2 linked regions of the Elephas maximus indicus genome follow. The protein of the gene in region 2 interacts with the protein of the main gene of each other region in a pairwise test. Links are inferred from orthologs where the notes say so. Each region holds a gene or a part of one and is shown on either strand. Other genes may lie near its edges.

The links.
Region 1: the proteins of BANP (region 2) and TNXB interact in binary tests that used the Homo sapiens proteins (3 or more experiments, as listed by UniProt). The two-hybrid records come from large-scale screens. The link is inferred for Elephas maximus indicus from reciprocal best matches to the Homo sapiens genes BANP and TNXB.

Annotation. Positions count from the first base shown.
Region 1 is NC_064819.1:93,587,752-93,597,516, forward strand, and holds the start of TNXB (tenascin-X), read right to left. Parts: upstream 4,591-9,765; 5' UTR 4,409-4,590; intron 561-4,408; 5' UTR 357-560; intron 1-356. Other genes in the region: ATF6B (cyclic AMP-dependent transcription factor ATF-6 beta), read right to left, coding at 6,676-6,905, 7,416-7,500, 7,639-7,750, 7,951-8,021, 8,236-8,317, 8,535-8,642, 8,795-8,974, 9,421-9,512 and 1 more. UniProt on the Homo sapiens protein: Appears to mediate interactions between cells and the extracellular matrix. Substrate-adhesion molecule that appears to inhibit cell migration. Accelerates collagen fibril formation. May play a role in supporting the growth of epithelial tumors.
Region 2 is NC_064839.1:53,409,219-53,418,649, reverse strand, and holds the start of BANP (protein BANP), read right to left. Parts: upstream 4,678-9,431; 5' UTR 4,579-4,677; intron 4,255-4,578; exon of another isoform or gene 3,735-4,254; intron 1-3,734. UniProt on the Homo sapiens protein: Controls V(D)J recombination during T-cell development by repressing T-cell receptor (TCR) beta enhancer function. Binds to scaffold/matrix attachment region beta (S/MARbeta), an ATC-rich DNA sequence located upstream of the TCR beta enhancer.

The sequences.
Region 1 (9,765 bases), on a different chromosome or scaffold from region 2:
CTTGTCCCCAACCCCATCATTTTCAGGGACCCAGCAGCCCACGTACCGATAACTGCCTCCATCCTGGTGCCACCACCTGACCAATGTGTCCCATGGCTTGTCCCCAGACCCTCTCAGGTACCTGCATCCGGTCTAAACCCTTGCATTCCCACCCTGCCCAACAAACACACCACCTTGTCCTCTCAGACACACCCTCCACAGGGATTCTGGTTCCCAGTGCCTGGTCCTACTTCCCCTGACAGAAAGCCCCTGCCCTGGGAGGTACCCCTGAGAACTGTGCCCTTTACCTGGGGGTGGGGGTAGGATAGACACCCCCTGACCTTCCATCTGGGTCGTCCAGGAGTACTGTTCCTTACCTGGGCGACGGGGCAGCTACAGCGCCTCTGCACCTGCTCTGTCCTCAACCCCCGAGCAGGGGGTGATGGGGTCTCAGGGTAGGATAGGGTGGACTCCCCTTGGTAGCCCTGGGCTCCCTGGAGGCCCCCTCAGTTGTCCCCTGCAGCAGGGGCTCACCAAACCGCAACCGTCGATCTCAGCAGCGACAGCGAGAAGGAGGGCTCCTGAGGCAAGCAGGGGGAGGAGAAGGGGAGGACCAGTATGAGGTCAGGGAGGGGAGCGGAGATATGGCAGGTCCTCCCATTCCTCCCGCCTGCCAGGCCTCCAGCGTCATCACTTGCCACCCCTTCCTCTCCCCCACCGGCACCCTGGGCCCCTCCCTGTCTAGGATCCTGAGTCCCACCGTACCTTTCTCTTTCCCCTCTAGTCCTAGTTACATCTCCAGGGTCCGTTTCCCACCCCATTTTTACTCCTCCTCCTCGCTCTAATTTTTGCCCAACCTAACATCCCTCATCCCTCTTCTCCCCTTTTTCCCACCATTTCCCCACCTGTTGCCCCTTCTCTCTGACCTGTTTTCTCTACCAACACCCTTCCCCTTGGACAGCCACTCTCCCGCCCTCTGCAGCCTCCCTCCCACCCCTTCCTAGTTGTCAGTGTTCCAGTTTCGACCTTCCCCCTCTGTCGGTTGCCCAGCACTGGCTCCTTCATTCCCCCAACCAATTCTCCCCAAGCAGCTCAGGGCAGGGGGCAGAGGCAGATTGGGGGTGGGAGAAAACCCCCTCCCAAGTCTGAATCCCTCCCACCGTGGACCTTCTCAGGGACTCCAGTCCCCATCTCTGCCCCAGCTCCAGCCCCAATGCTTCCACCTGCGCCTGTCTCTTCCTCCCTTATTTCCTCAGCATGGCCTGTCCCTGTTCTGTCCAGTCCATATCCTGTTCTCAGTTTGGATCACTGCCCCCTTTTCATTCTCCCACCTCAGTAAATACCTAGAGAAATGGCAGGTGAGGTTGGGCAAAGGCTTGCCTGAACTCCAGGGCAAATAAAACTTGGGAAGAAAGTCAGGGCTGGGGGGGAGAAAAGGATGGGAAGCCTAGAGGCTAGGAGGAATTTTTGCCAACCAATAAAGAGCTAGAGGCAGGAGGCAAAAATGGGGGTGCAGTGCATGAAGGTGGGCTAAGCTCTGGAAAGCAGAAGGGGGCTCAAGTTTGGGAGCTGCAAGGGAACAGGAAGCAGGGGTGGGGAGAGAGCTAGAGGCTAGAGTAAAAGGGCACCTTAGTCTCAGGTGGGACAGGAAGACTGACAACCAGGGGACAGGGCGGACGGAGAGGCAGACACACCCCACATTCAGCTACTGGGCGTTTCTCTGGCCTCATTTCCCCACATACTGCCCCATGGGGGGCAGAAAAGGATACTTTTGTCACCCACCCACCACTGCCGTCAAGTCGATTCCACACACAGAGGAGAAATATCCAGGTTAAGGGACCCTTCCTCAGGCTTCACATTGAGGATAGAGTTCTACCTCTCTGCAAACCTCACCATCGGGGTGTAACTAGACCAGTTAACAGTCTTGAGTGAAAGAAGCCTGCATGTGCCTGATTCTGCCACATGGGCTGGGGCACAGGTGTCTGTGTCCATGTCAGACCCCTGGCGTTGCAGGCGTGGTGGTGTTTCTGGGTCACAACACGCTGGCACAGGATATGGCTGCTGCCAGATGCCCAGTTAGCTCATTGTGACTGAGTGCAAAGTATTCATCAGCTCTCGCGTGGGTGTCCCCGTGTGTGTCCGTGTGTCTGGGTGTGTGGCTGTTTTTTTCCTGGCTTTGATAGGGGGATGAAGTCACCGTCTTGGATGGAGCTGGGCTTAGCTTCCTTCCTCTGCCTTGGCTTGAAGCCCCACAGCCAAGGATAGGTAGCAGCTCCCCTAGGAAGGATCTCTGGGTGGGAGGCAGGGGAAAGTAGATGAAATGGTGATGGAGGGTCTTAGACAGCATCACACAGAGACAGCAGACTGCAGAGTATGGATTTTCTTTGATTTCAATAAATATGTGCCATGGTCACCTTTTTTTTTGGTCCCATTTCCTGGTTTTATTATTTAGTGTATGGTCGCCATAAGTATACTTGGCCCAGAGAGTGGCCAGGAGACCCTGAGAGGAGCAAGAACTAGAAATATAACCCTGGCATGTCTTGGAAGCCTGCTGCTGGGGACTGGATGCTGGAATCTCAGAGAGGGAGTGTATGATTCCAGATGCTTACAACTTTCCGGCCACTCACTGGACGCTTGACGGACATAATTCCAGGTTTTGATAGAAACACTGTCTAAAATCTGATTCACCCTCTGGATTTCGCGCTCTTGCAGGAGCTCGTGTCTTATATACGTTTGTATCTCAGGAAAGCACCGGGGCTTGCATAGAGTAGGTACCCAATAAACACTTGTCAATATTGAGTTGTGAGTTGTGAAAAGACTGTGAGAAAAGGATGGGGAAAGAATGCCTGGTAGGGAGTCACAGGCATAAAGGCAGGGAATCCCTGTGGTCAGAGTGGGGTAGGCCTCACTGCTCTGTCCTCAGTGGAACAGGAAGATTGGGTGTTGTCAAGAACTGTCCATGTGCATTGGCTGTTCTCCGAAGCCTCAGCCCAGGTGTCCTCAGCTCTGAGCTTCTATCCTTGAATGATCCTCCAGGTTCCTGTCCTGACCTTAGGAGGATAAGGAATAAAAGATATAGAAAAGGAAGAAAGGGAAAGACAAGGAGAAAGGAAAGGAAGACACAGAAAAGTAAAGGCAATTAAGGGCAAAGGCCTGAAGGATAGAGAGAGGGGAATGAAGAGAGGCCAGAGGCTGCGATCCAAGGAAGCAGTCCCAGAGAGGGGAAAGACAGAAAGCATTTGTACTGGGCTTCTGTTTACAAAGCACTTCCCTTCACAGTGCAGTATTTTATCAGCCCCACTTTGTGGCTGGGGAAACAGACTTATGGACTTTAACGGACTTTGCTAGGGGTGGTGAAGGTGGGCCTCAACCAGGTTTTCTGATCCCAAAGCCTGTAGTCTCTCCCCTCACCCAGCAACAGCCCTGGGAAATGACAGGATTGATGACTTGGGGCAGAAATAAATTAAGTGGATTCTTGAAGGACTTGTTTGAGAAGGAAGGGTGGGGAATCTGGATTTTTGAAACTTCTTTCTGCATCCAGTCATTACGTAGATTCAGTTAGAAGAAATTGCCAAGTACAAGACAGGGGGGTCAACGTGCCATTACTGAGAGCTGAGGAGGGGTGCAAGGAAGGGGAACATGGAGAGAAAGGACTGAGCCTGAGATCAAAAACGGAAGAAAACTAAGAGACTAGGGCTGAAAGGGGGGCAAGAGAGCCATGGAAAGAAGGGTTTAGACCCTCAAAACTTCCTTTGCCTGGAGACATGGGTGTGGGAAGAAGGGAGGAGGGAGGACATTTCTATCTTGTGACAAAAGAAAGTCACACAATTGTTTTGTTCTCTGCTCTGGGGCGGGTGGGCGCCCGTATTTACCAGAGGGACTGAGGTCGCTGTGGCAACCACACATCTGGGCCCCGGAATCCAGATGTGCTGTATCCAGAAGCCATAGCATAACGATGAGGCAAACATTAGGTTCCCCAGTCCGGCCCCCACAGCTGGGAAGAGGACAAGAGGACTGGAGTGGAGAAGGGGGGTGGGGACGAAGGAGGAGAGGACTGAAGCGGGGGAGAAGAGAGGAAGTAATGGAAAGGGACAAGGAATGTGGATAAAAGAATGGAAAGGGAAAAGGGGGGTGGTATGAAAAAGAGAGGCAAGCCCAGGGTCAGCAGCAGGAGATGAGAAGACCAAGAGGAAAAAATAGACGGTGAAGCAGAGGAGGAGAAAGGGAAAAATACAAAAGAAGCAAGAAACCAATAAAATGAACAAAGGATCCAAACAAAACCCACTGCCGTCAGGTCCATTCCAACTCACAGTGACCCTACAGGACAGAGTAGAACTGCCCCATAGGGTTCCCAAGGCTGTAAATCTCTAAGGAAGCAGACTGCCCCATCTTTCTCCTGCAGAGCAGCTGGTGGGTTTGAACCACTGACCTTTTGGTTGGCAGCTGAGCGCTTGACCACTGCACCACGAGGGCTCCTTGAACAAAGAATAAAGGGTCAAAAAGAGGTGTTAACTCATAGTGAGGGAGAGAGCAAAGAAAGGCAGAAAAGTCTAGAGAAAGGGAGAGACTATGGGGTCAGGGATGATAGAGAAATCAACGGCGGGGATCCTGAGGACAGAAAACAGGAGGTGGTAGCACAAGGAAAGCAGGAGAAAAAAGATATGAGGGCCCAGGACAAAGAGGCCGATGAGGCAAAGGGCACTGGCCTGGCATGCTGAAGTGGCCTTGGATGGGGTGTGTGGCCTGAGGAATGGAGGTCTACACGGGTTTGGAAGAAAGCAACCCAGAGCTTGACCTGCCTTCCCCCGACAGTATGTATAACCAGTCGCCATGCCTCCTTCCCACCACTCCACTCCCTCAGCCAAGAGAGACCAGGCTCCTACTTCACACTCAAGTGCCGGCTGCCTTTGCTACTCAGCAGAGGTGCGACCCACCACACCCTAGAGCCTCCAGTCTGAGATGCCAGCACTTCAAGCACTTTCCTGAGCTGGGGTCAAGGAGGAGAAAGAACCATGGAACCCAGATGGGAACAATGCAGGAAGAAAAGGGCACTGTAGAGGAGGAGAGAAAGGAGCAAGGCATAAGAAAAAGACATGTCTACTGCGGACCAGGCTTTGCGAACGTCATCTTGTTTATTCTCATGTCTGCCCTGAGGTCAGAGTTTCCCATTTTATAGATGGGGAAACTAGGACTCAGGGTGTTAGTTATACATCAAGGACATTCACCAACAAAAGGCAAGGCAGGGAATCCAATTCAGGTGATCTGTCTCCAAAATCCTTGTTTATGCATTACACCGCCTGGTTAAGGCTGGGATCACCCCCAGGGACCCTGGGACAGGAAGCGTGGGTTGAGCAACCCAGGGCTGCCCTCTTGAGGGAGAAGAGGCCTAGTTCCTGGGAGCCCCAGTTCCAGGTCACCATAGTGACTTGGTCTGTTTTCACCCCAAACACAGTAATGAGCTGGGGGAGAGCCTGGCTGGACACGTGAGGTCCTTCAGGCCGGGCTTCTGGCCCGGGCGGCCCCTGTCCAGTCATCTGGGCCCTGAGCCCAGGCCCAGCCAACACCCTCCAGCTGACCCAGGACAAGCCTGCAGGGTCAGGCCTGAGGCGCTGCTGGCCAGGCACCCCCGCAGGTTGGGACTGATTCTTAGCCCCTCACCCTTTTCCTGCTCCCCTTCCCCGTAATCAGAATATTCAGCCTGTTGTTCCAGACCTGCTCATGTCCTTTCCTTTCCCCTGGACTCTCAAGTCTGCCTCCTCCAGCTCAGAGTTAAGAGGGTGCCCCCCAATATCCTCCCTCCAGAATACCACCTCCCTCTCCACTGTGGCCCTCCTTCCAGGCTCAGAGCCCTCTGGCCCCAGCTCCTGTTGTTTGTTTGAGCTGTTCACCCTGGAAAGCAAGGGGAGGGAGGGGAACCTACTGTAGAGCAGGGGACCCAGAGAAGCTGTTCACCCTGAAGGGTGTGGGGCCCCCTGTCCTTCCTGTTTACTCACATTCCAGAGATCTGTATCTCCTGATCTATCAAACCATGAGGCATCCCACCCCCCCCACCCCCACCCTGTAATTCCCTGCTAGACACAGGCATACCCAGTTGCAGGGGAGGGGGCAAGGAGATGACATGTGGTCTGTGATTCTATACCCATCCTATCTCTGGGCCAGCTGTGTCTTCAGTGCTTGGTTCTTTGATCCTGGTCCCTATCAAAACCACCTTCCTCCAAACTCCCCGACCCCAGTCAGGAAGGCAGTCACTATTCCTTCAACTCCCTTTGTTTATTTAATAATAAAAAAGAAGACATGCACACACATAAACCTGATCTCCCGCCAGCATCCCTCCTTTACTCCCAGTAACTAACTCCAAAATGTAAAACTTCCCTTGTCCCACCTGAGGACTCAGTTCCCATTCCTCAGACAGACAAAAAAAGGATAAAGAGTATGCAGGAGCCCACCCTCAAACTTAATGCCCTCAAAGGAAGAAGCAGGGACTGAGGGTCCACTGAAATGAAAGGAGCCCTATATACCGAAGAGGGAGTGAGAGGAGAGGTAAATCCCTCTACCTCCAAATTAGTGCTTGACCCCACACCCTGTCTTTCCTTGACTGATTGCCCCAAGCCCAGGGAGCAGGGAAATGAGCAATATTCCCGCTTGGTCACCCCCAGCCCCCACTCCCCAATTTGAAGTCAGTGTGAGCTGTTGAGGTCAGGGGTGATTGAGGTAGAGGGGTTGGTGGGAGGCCTGGTGGGCCTGGCTGGCTGTAGAAGCTGGCAAGGGGCCCCCTGTGGCATTGCCGGGGGTCGGGGACGGCTGCTTTCGGAGCGAGGGGGGCACCGTGGAGGTCTTGATGTGAATCACCCTGGTGTCCATGACCTCGCACTCGATCTGCATCATCTCCTCATAGTCCCCTGGGGCTCCGCGGCCCGAAAGGGTCTCTGTGAGAAGGGGAAAGGCAAGGGAGCCGAGGAGGGGAGGCATACAGAGGAGGGACCAGGAAAGCAGAGGTGAACAGGAGGAAAAGATGGGCGAGGAGGAGGCAGCTCCATGGGAGAGTTGAAGGGGACAGCAGGGATGGAGTATGGCGCAGCGAGAAAGAAAGAAAATGACATAGATGAGAGTGGAGTCATACAGGTGAAGGAGTCAAAAGGAAAACTGAAGTGAGGGTCTGGCAGGTTCCCAGGCCGCCCCCCTCTGCCCAGCCACCTACCCAAGCACCTTGGGCAAAGGAAAACCAGCACCCTTGTCTTCCTCCCATCAAACTCTCCTCAATTATTTCTCTCCACCCATTTCCTGCTTCTTCTCATCTATGAGTCTAGCACTTCTCTGGGATATTCCATTCCTCTCCCTAATTCCCCCCTCAGCTCCTCATGCTGGATCTCCCCATCTGGACTTCCCCTTTCCTCAATCTCAGGACCCCTTCCCACACCCTGCAGGGAACGAATTACCATTGGGGGCCATGGCAGGCATCACCAGAGACATCTTAGGCCGGGAGGTCTTATTGTGGCTGATGGCTGGGAGCAGCAAGTGGTCCTGGGAAAGAGGGGCCAGGCCAGGAGAATGGAGGAAAACATACCAACAGGTTCCCTGGCCCTACTCTATACCATCCCTCTGAAAGTAGACTGCTGGACAACTTAGGAGGATGGAGATGGGGCAGGGAGGAAGACTCACCCTTCGAAAGGAGACAACATAAAATGTGTCTTCCCGTCGGTCGATTGCATCCAGGAACTCTGGCTGGGAACGGTCTGGGTGGCGATACAGCTGCAGTTGGCCCACAGAACCCCTAGGCAGGTGGGAAACAGGATTTGGGGGTTCCCACTACAAGCAGGGGGAAAAGGACGAGAGAAAGAGACAGGAGGTCCCAAAGGATAAGGGAGCATAATCCCGTGGGTGAAACAACAGGGAGCACAGGACAGCTCCTGGGGCACAGCTATTTCGAGTGGAGCGTTGGTTAATCAATAAGTACCCCCTTCCTATACTCACCTTTCTGGGGGCCCCAGTGGTCGAGTGGGGACTGCTTTAACTGGAGGCGACTCCTTCCGTAGCTGAGACTTCTGGAAGGAGAGGTTTCTGAGGATTTGGAGAGGGTGAAGGGAGAGGGGAAACAGAGAGCCAGCCCCTGGAAGCTGATGCCACCTCACACCCACCCCACCACTTCCCCTAAACAATCCCTCACACCAACCCACTATACCCACTCAAAATCCCCAGGACATTTAGCCCTTGTCTTCATGTGGCCATCCTCGAACCAGCCAGCCCCACCCCTCCTACCTGTCTCTCTTGGGCCCTTTGAGGGATCTTCCGCCGGCCTCTCTGGTGGCGCTGGACCCAGCCACTCAACTCATCTGCAAGCCTGGGGAGGCAGAGAAGAGTTCATGCTGCCATGCCAGGCCAAGACTCCCACTTTCCTTGCCTGCACACAGGAGTGAGACAAGAGGGCAAGGAGAGCTGGTGCTTCAGCACAGGAGGACAGCCAGACCACCTGTGGAGGGGCCTCAGGGAGGAGGGAGGGAGGCATGCAGGGAGGGCAGGGGCGGAAGCGCTCAGCCTCAGCCATAAATCCCCCACACCTCAGGGACTCCGTTCGGTTAAAGTGACGGCAATCGGAGGAGAGAAAGAGCTGGTCCAGGTCTCTCAGTAGCAGCTCCTTGGCACCCCCAGGGAAGGCTGTCAGATTCCTGGAGTGAGGCCAGGAAGAAGCAACGATCAGAGATTGCCAGCACTCCCACAATGACAGAGAAGCAAGCAATGACAGCAAGAGAACAGCTCTGGCTCACCCCAAAAAGAAAGGGCACCCCCAAAGGAGAAGGAGCCCTCTTTCGCTCCTCACCTAAAACTCGGTCGGCTTGCAGGGCTGGGCTCGGGCTCTTCAGGCCCCTGGGAGGAGCCCTGGAGGGGTGAGACTCCACGAACTGGCTCTTGCTCTGAGAACTCCAGCAGGTGCCTCCGGAGCCGAGGTTCCTCTCCGCTCACTTGAGGAGAGACAGGAGCCAAAGGAGGCTCACTGATGCTGTGGAGGACAGACAGAGCACAAGGAGGAATCCCTGCTTTAGTGAGTGTCTGGGTAAGAACAAGGGCTCTGCAGGCAGGCTGCCGGGGCCCCAATCTGCTGTACAAACCTGTCTTTCATCTGTAATACAGGAATGAGAACAGTACCTACTTCACAGAGCCAGGACACATGAGAAAAGGAGAGCACTTAAGTTAGAGCCTAGAACTCAGTAAGTGTCTAATAGTCATTATCTTTATCAACATCAGCACCATTATCTCATCCGGGATGTACCATGTATAAGAGAAATGATGGAGCAAGAAAAGGCTGGCTGGAGATACCACTGGTGCCAAGGCGACCACAACTGTCAGCGTGTGAGTGGAATGGGAGTGACTTGCCAAAGCAGGCAAACAGGCGCTGCAAGGTGGGCTCCGCCACAGAAGGTTCCGGGGTGGTGGGGAAGGTCTCACCTGACAGGCCCAAAGTTGAAGGCAATGAAGAGGAGGAAGATCATGATGCAGACCACCTTCCTGTTTCCAGACCCCAACTTGAGCTCACTGTTCTAAGATGCAAAGGAAGAGATAAGAAGGAGGGTAAGGCATTCCCTCGGAACCGGTATTGCTGCTGGCCCTCCATGGACAGACCAGCCTTACCTTAGCCAGCAGGGCCTCGAGCTGCCGGCGGAGGGCAGCATTCTCCCGACGCAGCTGCTGGTTATCGGACAGCACCGCCTGCAACCTTGCCTCCAGCCCCTGCAGATACTCTTTCTTCTTCCTGCGGGACTGGCAGGCCGACTCCCGGTTCTTAATCATCCG
Region 2 (9,431 bases):
CCAGCAAGCCCTCGGCAAACGAAGCTGCTGACGTACACTTTCAAAAGTGACGATCAGTCATGCTTTGAGCTCTTACCCACTGCCACTGCCCTGTCCCTCAGTGCACTGAGAAGCCAGCAGAGGATGATGAAATCACAAATGCGCTGTAACACTCTCTGCGACTGGTCTCCTCCAGTGAGCCTGGCACACCCGTAAGGCTGCAAGGCCAGAAGAACAGGCAGCAGTAACTGCACCCCCACTGCACAGCCAGGGGCTGACGGCTGGCTGACAGGTCGCAGTACCACCAAGGCCACGAGAGGGCAGGAGAGCCGAGGGGCTGGGAGAATTCCTGTCCCAGATGAGTGGCTAGCACAGGTGATCTCAGCTCCTCCCATAAAAAGTTTTTAAGACAGCATAAGCGCACAAGGGAAAAAAGAAGAGGGGCAGGTGAGAGTTCACGAGAGGATTTGGAGGATCACTGAATAATCCCACAAGGAGTTGGTCTCACCAATGAGGGACTCAAGCTTCAAGGGAGCCTGCAGCAGCCCATGACCCAAAACACAGAGCTGACACAGGACGGGGAGAGGTCAGCCTGTAAAGGGAACTGGGGTCATTGCACACAGAAGGACTCTCCAAAGGCCCCTGCAGACAAAGTAGAGCAGCCCCCAAGCAAAGAGGCAGAAGGGTCTTCCTCAAAGTTGCCGAAAGGCCAAGAGAAAATAACTCTGGCACTTAGCATTCAGGGTCCCCAGCACAATGACGAGCCCCCCACTCACCCAAAGGGCAACTGGCGCATTTTCTCTTGCTTCACTTTTTTTTTTCACTTCTTAAACCTGGGCAACTATAAGTACCAATGTTTAAGGAGTATTTTTCCATATGAAGGCAAGAAGGCAATATTAAACAAAGGAAGTGATACCAGAGGAAGTATCAATCAAAAGACAGAAATGAAAAAAATCCTGATCCGTATCCTCAGTCAGAGAGAGAACACGTTCATAAAACAGTGAGTTGCTGTGAAAAAGGAAAAGAACAATCATTGGAAATAATGATAGAAGTTAAAATTTTAAACAGGATCAGAAGGTAAAACTATAGCCCTCTCAGAAAGGAGAATAAAAACAACACAAACAAAAATTCTGAGGGTCTCCAAGGCACCCATCATTAAACTAAGGGAAATCCTAAAAGGGAGACGAGAAAATCAGAGCGCAATAAATTCCTGAACAAATGATACAAGAGAATTTCCCAGAGGAAGGACAGGCCTCAGACCCAAACAATATTCTCACAGTGAGAGCCCACACGTCTTGACACACCGTCATAACCCCAAAGAGGACCCCAAAAACTTACAGGGAAGGAAAAGTTACCCAGAAAGGATAAGGCACCTTGGCAGAAGGTCTCCCATTGAAATGAGGAAGCCAAGGTTAAATTACAGCCTCCTAAACAAAGAGCCCTGGTGGTGCAGTGGTTAAGAGATGGGCTGCTAACCGAAAAGTCAGCAGTTCAAATCCAGCAGCTGCTCCTTGGAAACCATATGGGGCAGTACTACCCTGACCTGTATGGTCGCTATGAATCAGAATCAACTTGACAGCAAGGGGTTTGTATCCTGGTTTGGTCCTGAACCAACCCAGACATATAACAAAAGAAACAACCAGGATGACACTGGTGTAGTAATACTTGTGGAGTATCCTGCCAGACAGAAAAAGAGGACAGAGGACTGGGGGAAGTGAGGGGCTTGGGTAGAAGTCGCAGAGATTTGACACTACCCTTGAGAATTTAAACAATATAAGGAGTCAGCGGGAGCAAAAAATGCAAAGAAGAAAGGCCATCACAGACAACAGAAAAAATGAAAAGCTGTACAAGATGGGAACTGCAATACGTGCATAGAGGAGAGGACAGAAAAGGTGGGCTACGGTGTGAGGAGCCCTATCATAACAGAAAGTCAGGACCGGGTAACACTGACAGAACTTACGTCAGCTTATTAGTTGGGCTGCAGAGAACTGCCTGAGGAAACTAAGAGGTGCGTTAGGTCTGTGAGGAGCAGGACTGACGAGTGGGGTGAAGGACTGCTGCTTTCCATTATGAGCCTTTCCTTGACGTTTTTATTATGTAAATTACGTTGGTAAAAATTTTAAGTGTGTGTGTTGTTGTTGTTTTAAAAACACAGATTGAGCTCCAACTCTGGCTGTGTGTGACTTGGCCAAACTGCTTAACCTCTACGGGCCTCAGTCACGTCATCTGTAAGTCACGTCATCTGTAAAATGGGGCAACGTCTACCTCAAGGATCGTTGGGCTGAGAAACCTGTGAAACGCTCAGCAGTCCCAGCACACGGTACAGGGCCCATAAAAGGAGCGGTCTTTTAAAACTTAAAGCCGCTGTTAAGAATCCAGCATTCCCCTGGATATCACACAAATTCTTACGTCTTAATGGCAAGACAATGGGGAAAAAGAACTAAATACATGGGATTGATTGTACAGGCAGTTTTGGTGTTTTCTTTTATCACTGGATACCCAAGGCTTCAGATCCTAAGCTCACCTATGACACACTGTCCTAAAAGCTGAAGGTTAAATAGTCGGTTGACGTGCTTCCCGTTGTTTCCCTCACTCAGGACAACTCGGCTATTCCAAGTTATTCTTCTGTCTCTTCAAAAACGTCCAGTTACATCTCTACCCTTAGAAAGTGCATCAGCTAGTTCATCTTAGTGGAACAAAGGCCAGGCGATCTGCTTCCATAAAGATTACAGACAAGAAAGCCCCATGAAGGAGTCCTACTCTGTAACACAGGGGTCACCAGGTGTCAGGGGAGCCAACCTGACTGCAGCTAACAAGTTTTACCAAAGCTATTAGGCCTTGGATTACATTCCAAGGCAGAACCAAAAAACTAGTTGTCCATCAGGGCGATTCCAACTCATGGCAGTGCTGCAAATGGTTAACGCACTCGAACGCTAACTAAAAGGTTGGAGGTTCCAGCCCACCAAGAGACACCTCGAAAGAAAGGGCTGGCGATCTACTGCCGAGAAACCTACCACTGAAAACCCCATGGAGTACAGTTCTACTCTAACACACCTGGGGTACCAAGAGCAGAACTGGTAACTCCTAAGAGAGAAACCACCTGCTCCATACAAACAGACTCTAACCTGGGCCCTCCACTAGTCAAAGTAGGGCAAGCTCACTACCCTTGCAGTGCCACACTTCTCAGTTCTTCAGGGAGTGACTTCTCCAGTGTCAACACAACCCCACCATCTCGTCAGGGAAAAGAGTTAGTCCTCTTTTATAGCCATGCGTCCACTATGTGAGACGGAGTGTGAATCTCCATTTTTTGCAGTGGGGGTGGGGTAAGGGGGGAACATTCAAAGCAAAAAAGGCTGCACTTCAAAAGGATTAAATCAGACACCGCAAAAAGTGAGGGGTCAAAATCTGAAATCTTCATTCATGAAGATCTGTAAGAGCACTGGATTAGGTCATCTCCAAGGTCTAAAGCTGCCTCTTATTTTCCTTTGTGAAGCCAGCAGTAAATTAACAGAATTCTTTTCACATTCTAAGAGTTCAACTTCACATTAGTAATTTTGGAGGTAGCAAATCACTTAAAAGTCTGACTTAGAGCAACTACAACACGGGGTAAGAGTTATGCCATACAAAGCTCATTGGGGTTTTATACGTTTTAAGTTTTTCTGATTTTCTAGAAGACTGTAAAATCAAGCATGACAAGATTTTCCGTCTAGAAGTCCTGGGTCTGCAGAGGGTGACACAGAAGTCCAGAGAAGTGTTTTGCCCACGGAAGCAAAATCATGTCATCTCCTGCCGGGCAACAGCTAGCATCACCCAGGTCTCTGCTGCTGCTGCAGTGGACTGCTCTCCTTGGTGACGTCTTGCCATGCGCGTGTAAAATGCCACTACCCACTGGTGCATCTCAGACTCTGCCGGTAACGGGGTAACTAACGCACCCCAAGTGCACGGCCATCGAGTGCAATATGTGGGGCACTGGGGCGACCCCAGCACCACACAACTGCAGCGAGCCCGCTGCCTTAGAGTCGCCGCGAGCCTACAGGACAGAGTAGAACTGCCCCAGCGGGTTTCCAAGGCTGTAATCTTTACGGAAGCAACGGAAGCAGGCTGACGTATCTTTCTCCCGCGGAGAGGCTGGTGGGTTCGAACCGCCAATCTTTCGGTTAGCAGCCCAGCGTTTAACCACTGCGCCACCAGGGCAGCACCCAGCGACCTGCTCAAAACCAGGGCAGCGCTTCTCCTCCGTACCTACCACACGGCGGTTCACGGGGAAATCGACAGGTAATGGCAAAAAAGAAAAGGGACAACGACCCCTCGCGCCCGGCCCCGGCGACCCGCCGCTGTCTGAGTCCCGGGCCCGTGAGCGGAACGGAGCCCGGGCGGGGCACCGAGCGGCGGGTCCGGGCCGAGGCGGCGGGTACCGTTGGCGGCGGCGGCGGGCGACGGGGACGCGGGGCCGGGGGCGGGGCGGAGGCCGCGGGCGGCCGGGCGGAGGCCGCGGGCCGCGGCGGCGGCGGGCGGGGCGGGAGGGAGATCTCGCTCTCGCTCTCGCCCCGCGGGAAGGGGGGAGGCGGAGACGCGACCGGCTGCGGGAGCTGCAATTACCGTGTGGGCTGCGGAATTCTCGTGGTGTTTGTCGGGGAGATGTGATAATGGCGTCCGTCCTCGCGAGAGAAGCCGCCGCTCTGCGCAAGCGCTGCGCGGCCCTCCCCTCGGTCCGCGGCCCTGCGCGCTCTGCGCAGCCGTACGGGGTGCGCAGGAGGCGGGGGGCGGGGCCCGGGGGCGAGGCCTAGCCTGCGAGTGCCCCCGCGTGCCCAATCGCCGGCTAGGGCCGCGAGTGAGCGTACGCGGGCGTTTTTCTCCCACGCCCCGGTTGTGGTTTCTGGGCTTTTTATTTCTTCTTCACGCCCTCGTTCTCTCTGCTGCCCCGTGATGGGCGCTTCAGCGGAACGTTTGAGGAGTTTGCCTTCCGTTTGAGAGCCAGTAAATGGGCATTAGTCCTCCGGGGGACTACACATCCCGAGGCTCCCTGCGCACGCCGCAGGCAGTGCATTCTGGGTTTTGTAGTCTCACCGTCTGGACCTTGCCTGCTGGTAGTTGTAGTCTCTCCGTACTCTGGGCGCCCCGTCCCGTACCCGCTCCCTGGCCTGTTGGGACTTGTAGTTCATTAAGCACCCCTCCGGATCCGGCCTCGTGCTGACCTTTTTCCTCTGATATTCCTGAATCATTGGGTGGAATTTTTCCAACAAATAGATAGTGTTCAAGGTGCCATCGTGCCTGTCCAGACAATATTGAGTGCACACGCTGTTTTTTTGGTGAAAATATACACAACAAAACATAAATCAACAATTTCTACATGTACTTTCACTCATGTTGATTACATTCTTCAAGTTGTGCAACCATTCTCACAATCCTTTTCCAAATTATTCCAGCACCATTAATGTAAACTCAATGCCCCCTAAGTTTCTCATCTAACCTTTCTAGTTGCTGTTGTCAATTTGATCACGTAGAAATAATTTAAAAGAGCATAATGCTCAAGACAGACATCATTAACTAAATTAAGCTAAACTATTGTTTGGTTTAAAGATGACTTCAGGGGATGGATTTGGAATAAGGTTTAAAGATTTCCACAGGGTTTTTAATGGCTGATTTTTTTGGAAGCAGACTTTTAGAAAGCCAGGCACCTCTGAGTAGACTTGAACCTCCAAACTTTCACTTAGCAGCCATGCATATTAAACGTTTGCACCACCCAGGGATTCCTATAACATCCACCACTCATCTGTCAGTTTGTTGTACTGTGGTGGCTTGCATGATGCTGTGATGCTGGAAGCTATGCCACCGGTATTTCAAATACCACCAGGGTCACTCATGCTAGAAAGGTTTCAGCAGAGCTTCCAGGCTAAGACAGACTAGGAAGAAGGACATGGAGAACTAATTCTAAAAGAATTGGCCAGTGAAAACCTTATGAATAGCAGTGGGACGTTGTCTGATATAGTGCCAGAAGATGAGCCCCCCAGGTTGGAAGGCACTCAAAAGATGACTGGGGAAGAGCTGCCTCCTCAAGGTAGAGTCGACCTTAATGACGTGGATGGAGTAAAGCTTTCAGGACCTTCACTTGCTGATGTGGCATGACTCAAAATGAGAAGAAACAGCTGTCAATGTCCATTAATAATTGGAACCTGGAATGTACGAAGTATGAATCTAGGAAAATTGGAAATCATCAAAAATGAAATGGAACGCATAAACATTGATATCCTAGGCATTAGTGAGCTGAAATGACTCGTATTGGCCATTTTGAATCAGACAATCATACAGTCTACTATGCTGGGAATGACAACTCGAAAAGGAATGGTGTTGCATTCATTGTCAAAAAGAAGGTTTCAAGATGTATCCTGAAATACAATGCTGCCAGTGATAGGATAATATCCATACACCTACAAGGAAGACCAGTTAATACGACTATCATTCATATTTATGCACCAACCACTAGGGCCAAAGATGAAGAAATAGAAGATTTTTATCAGCTGCTACAGTCTGAAATTGATCGAACGTGAAATCAAGATGCATTGACAATTACTGGCGATTGGAATGTGAAAGTTGGAAATAAAGAAGAAGGATCAATAGTTGGAAAATACGGCCTTGGTGATAGAAACAACGCTGGAGATCGAATGATAGAATTTTGCAAGACCAACGACTTCTTTATTGCAAATTCTTTCTTTCACCAACATAAACGGCAACTATACACATGGACCTCGCCAGATGGAACACACAGAAATCAAATTGACTACATCTGTGGAAAGAGACAATGGAAAACCTCAATATTATCAGTCAGAACAAGGCCAGGGGCCGACTGTGGAACAGACCATCAATTGTTCATATGCAAGTTCAAGCTGCAACTGAAGAAAATCAGAGCAAGTCCACGAGAGCCAAAACATGACCTTGAGTATATCCCACCTGAATTTAGAGACCATCTGAAGAATTGATTTGACGCATTAAATGCTAGTGGCTGAAGACCAGATGAGTTGTGGAATGACATCAAGGACATCATCCATGAAGAAAGCAAGAGGTCATTGAAAAGACAGGAAAGAAAGAAAAGACCAAGATGGATGTCAGAGGAGACTATGAAACTTGCTCTCGAACGTTGAGCAGCTAAAGCAAAAGGAAGAATTGCTGAAGTAAAAGAACTGAACAGAAGATTTCAAAAGGCAGCTCAAGAAGACGAAGTAAAGTATTGTAATGACATGTGCAAAGAGCTGGAGACGGAATTCCAAAAGGGAAGAACACACTCAGGGTTTCTCAATCTGAAAGAACTGAAGAAAAAATTCAAGCCTCGAGTTGCAATAGTGAAGGATTCCATGGGGAAAATATTAAATGATGTAGGAAGCATCAAAAGAAGATGGAAGGAATACACAGAGTCATTATACCAAAAAGAATTAGTCAATGTTCAACCACTTCAAGAGGTGGCTTATGATCAGGAGCCAATGGTACTGAAGGAAGAAGTCAAAGCTGCTCTGAAGGCATTGGCAAAAAACAAGTCTCCAGGAATTGATGGAATATCAGTTGAGATGTTTCAACAAACAGATGCAGCACTGGCGGTGCTCACTCATCTATGCCAAGAAATATGGAAGACAGCTTCCTGGCCAACTGACTGGAAGAGATCCATATTTATGCCTATTCCCAAGAAAGGTGATCCAAACGAATGTGGAAATTATAGAACAATATCATTAATATCACACGCAAGCAAAATTTTGCTGAAGATCATTCAAAAAAGGCTGCAGCAGTATATTGACAGGGAACTGCCAGAAATTCAGGCCAGTTTCAGAAGAGGACGTGGAACCAGGGATATCATTGTTGATGTCAGATGGATCCTGGCTGAAAGCAGAGAATACCAGAAGGATATTTACCTGTGTTTTATTGACTATGCAAAGGCATTCGACTGTGTGGATCATAACAAGTTATGGATAACATCGCGAAGAATGGGAATTCCAGAACACTTAATTGTGCTCATGAGGAACCTTTGCATAGATCAAGAGGCAGTTGTTTGGACAGAACAAGGGGATATTGATTGGTTTAAAGTCAGGAAAGGTGTGTGTCAGGGTTGTATTCTTTCACCATACCTATTTAATCTGTATGCTGAGCAGATAATATGAGAAGCTGGACTATATGAAGAAGAATGGGGCATCAGGATTGGAGGAAGACTTATTAACAACCTGCACTATGCAGACGACACAACCTTGCTTGCTGAAAGTGAAGAGGACTTCAAGCACTTACTAATGAAGATCAAAGACCACAGCCTTCAGTATGGATTGCACCTCAACATAAACAAAACAAAAATCCTCACAACTGGACCAATGAGCAACATCATGATAAACAGAGAAAAGATTGAAGTTGTCAAGGATTTCATTTTACTTGGATCTACAATCAACGGTCATGGAAGCAGCAGTCAAGAAATCAAAAGACGCATTGCATTGGGTAAATCTGCTGCAAAGGACCTCTTTAAAGTGTTGAAGAGCAAAGATGTCACCCTGAAGACTAAGGTGCGCCTGACCCAAGCCATGGTATTTTCAATCACATCATATGCATGTGAAACCTGGACAATGAATAAGGAAGACCGAAGAAGAGTTGACGCCTTTGAATTGTGGTGTTGGCAAAGAATATTGAATATACCATGGATTGCCAAAAGAACAAACAAATCTGTCTTAGAAGAAGTACAACCAGAATGCTCCTTTGAGGCAAGGATGGCGAGACCGCGTCTTACATACTTTGGACATGTTGTCAGGAGGGATTAGTCCCTGGAGAAGGACATCATGCTTGGCAGAGTACAGGGTCAGCGGAAAAGAGGAAGACCCTCAACAAGGTGGATTGACACAGTGGCTGCAACAATGAGCTGAAGCATAACAACAATTGTAAGGATGGTGCAGTGTTTCGTTCTGTTGTGCATAGGGTCGCTATGAGTCAGAACCAACTCAACGGCACCCAACAACAACAACAATGATTAACATCACATGCAAGTAATATTTTCCTGAAAATAATTCAAAAATGGTTGCAGCAGTACATCGACAGAGAACTACCAGAAATTCAAGCAGGATTCAGAAGAGGACCTGGAACAAGGAATATCATTGTCAATACCAGATGGATCTTGGCTGAGGGCAGAGAATACCAGAAAGATGTGAACTGGTGTTTTATTGACCACGCAAAGGCATTCAGCTGTGTGAATCATAACAGATTGTGAATAACATTGCTGTGATGGTTAAGGTTATGTGTCAGCTTGGCTGGGCAATAATTCTCAGTGGCTTGGCAGTTATGTAATGATGTATTTATCCTCCATTTTGTGATATTATGTAATCTATTTCTCAATGGGATGGATTGATACAGTGGCTGCAACAATGGGCTCAAACACAGCAAGGATTGTAAGGATGGCACAGGACTGGGCAATGTTTTGTTCTGTTGTACATAGG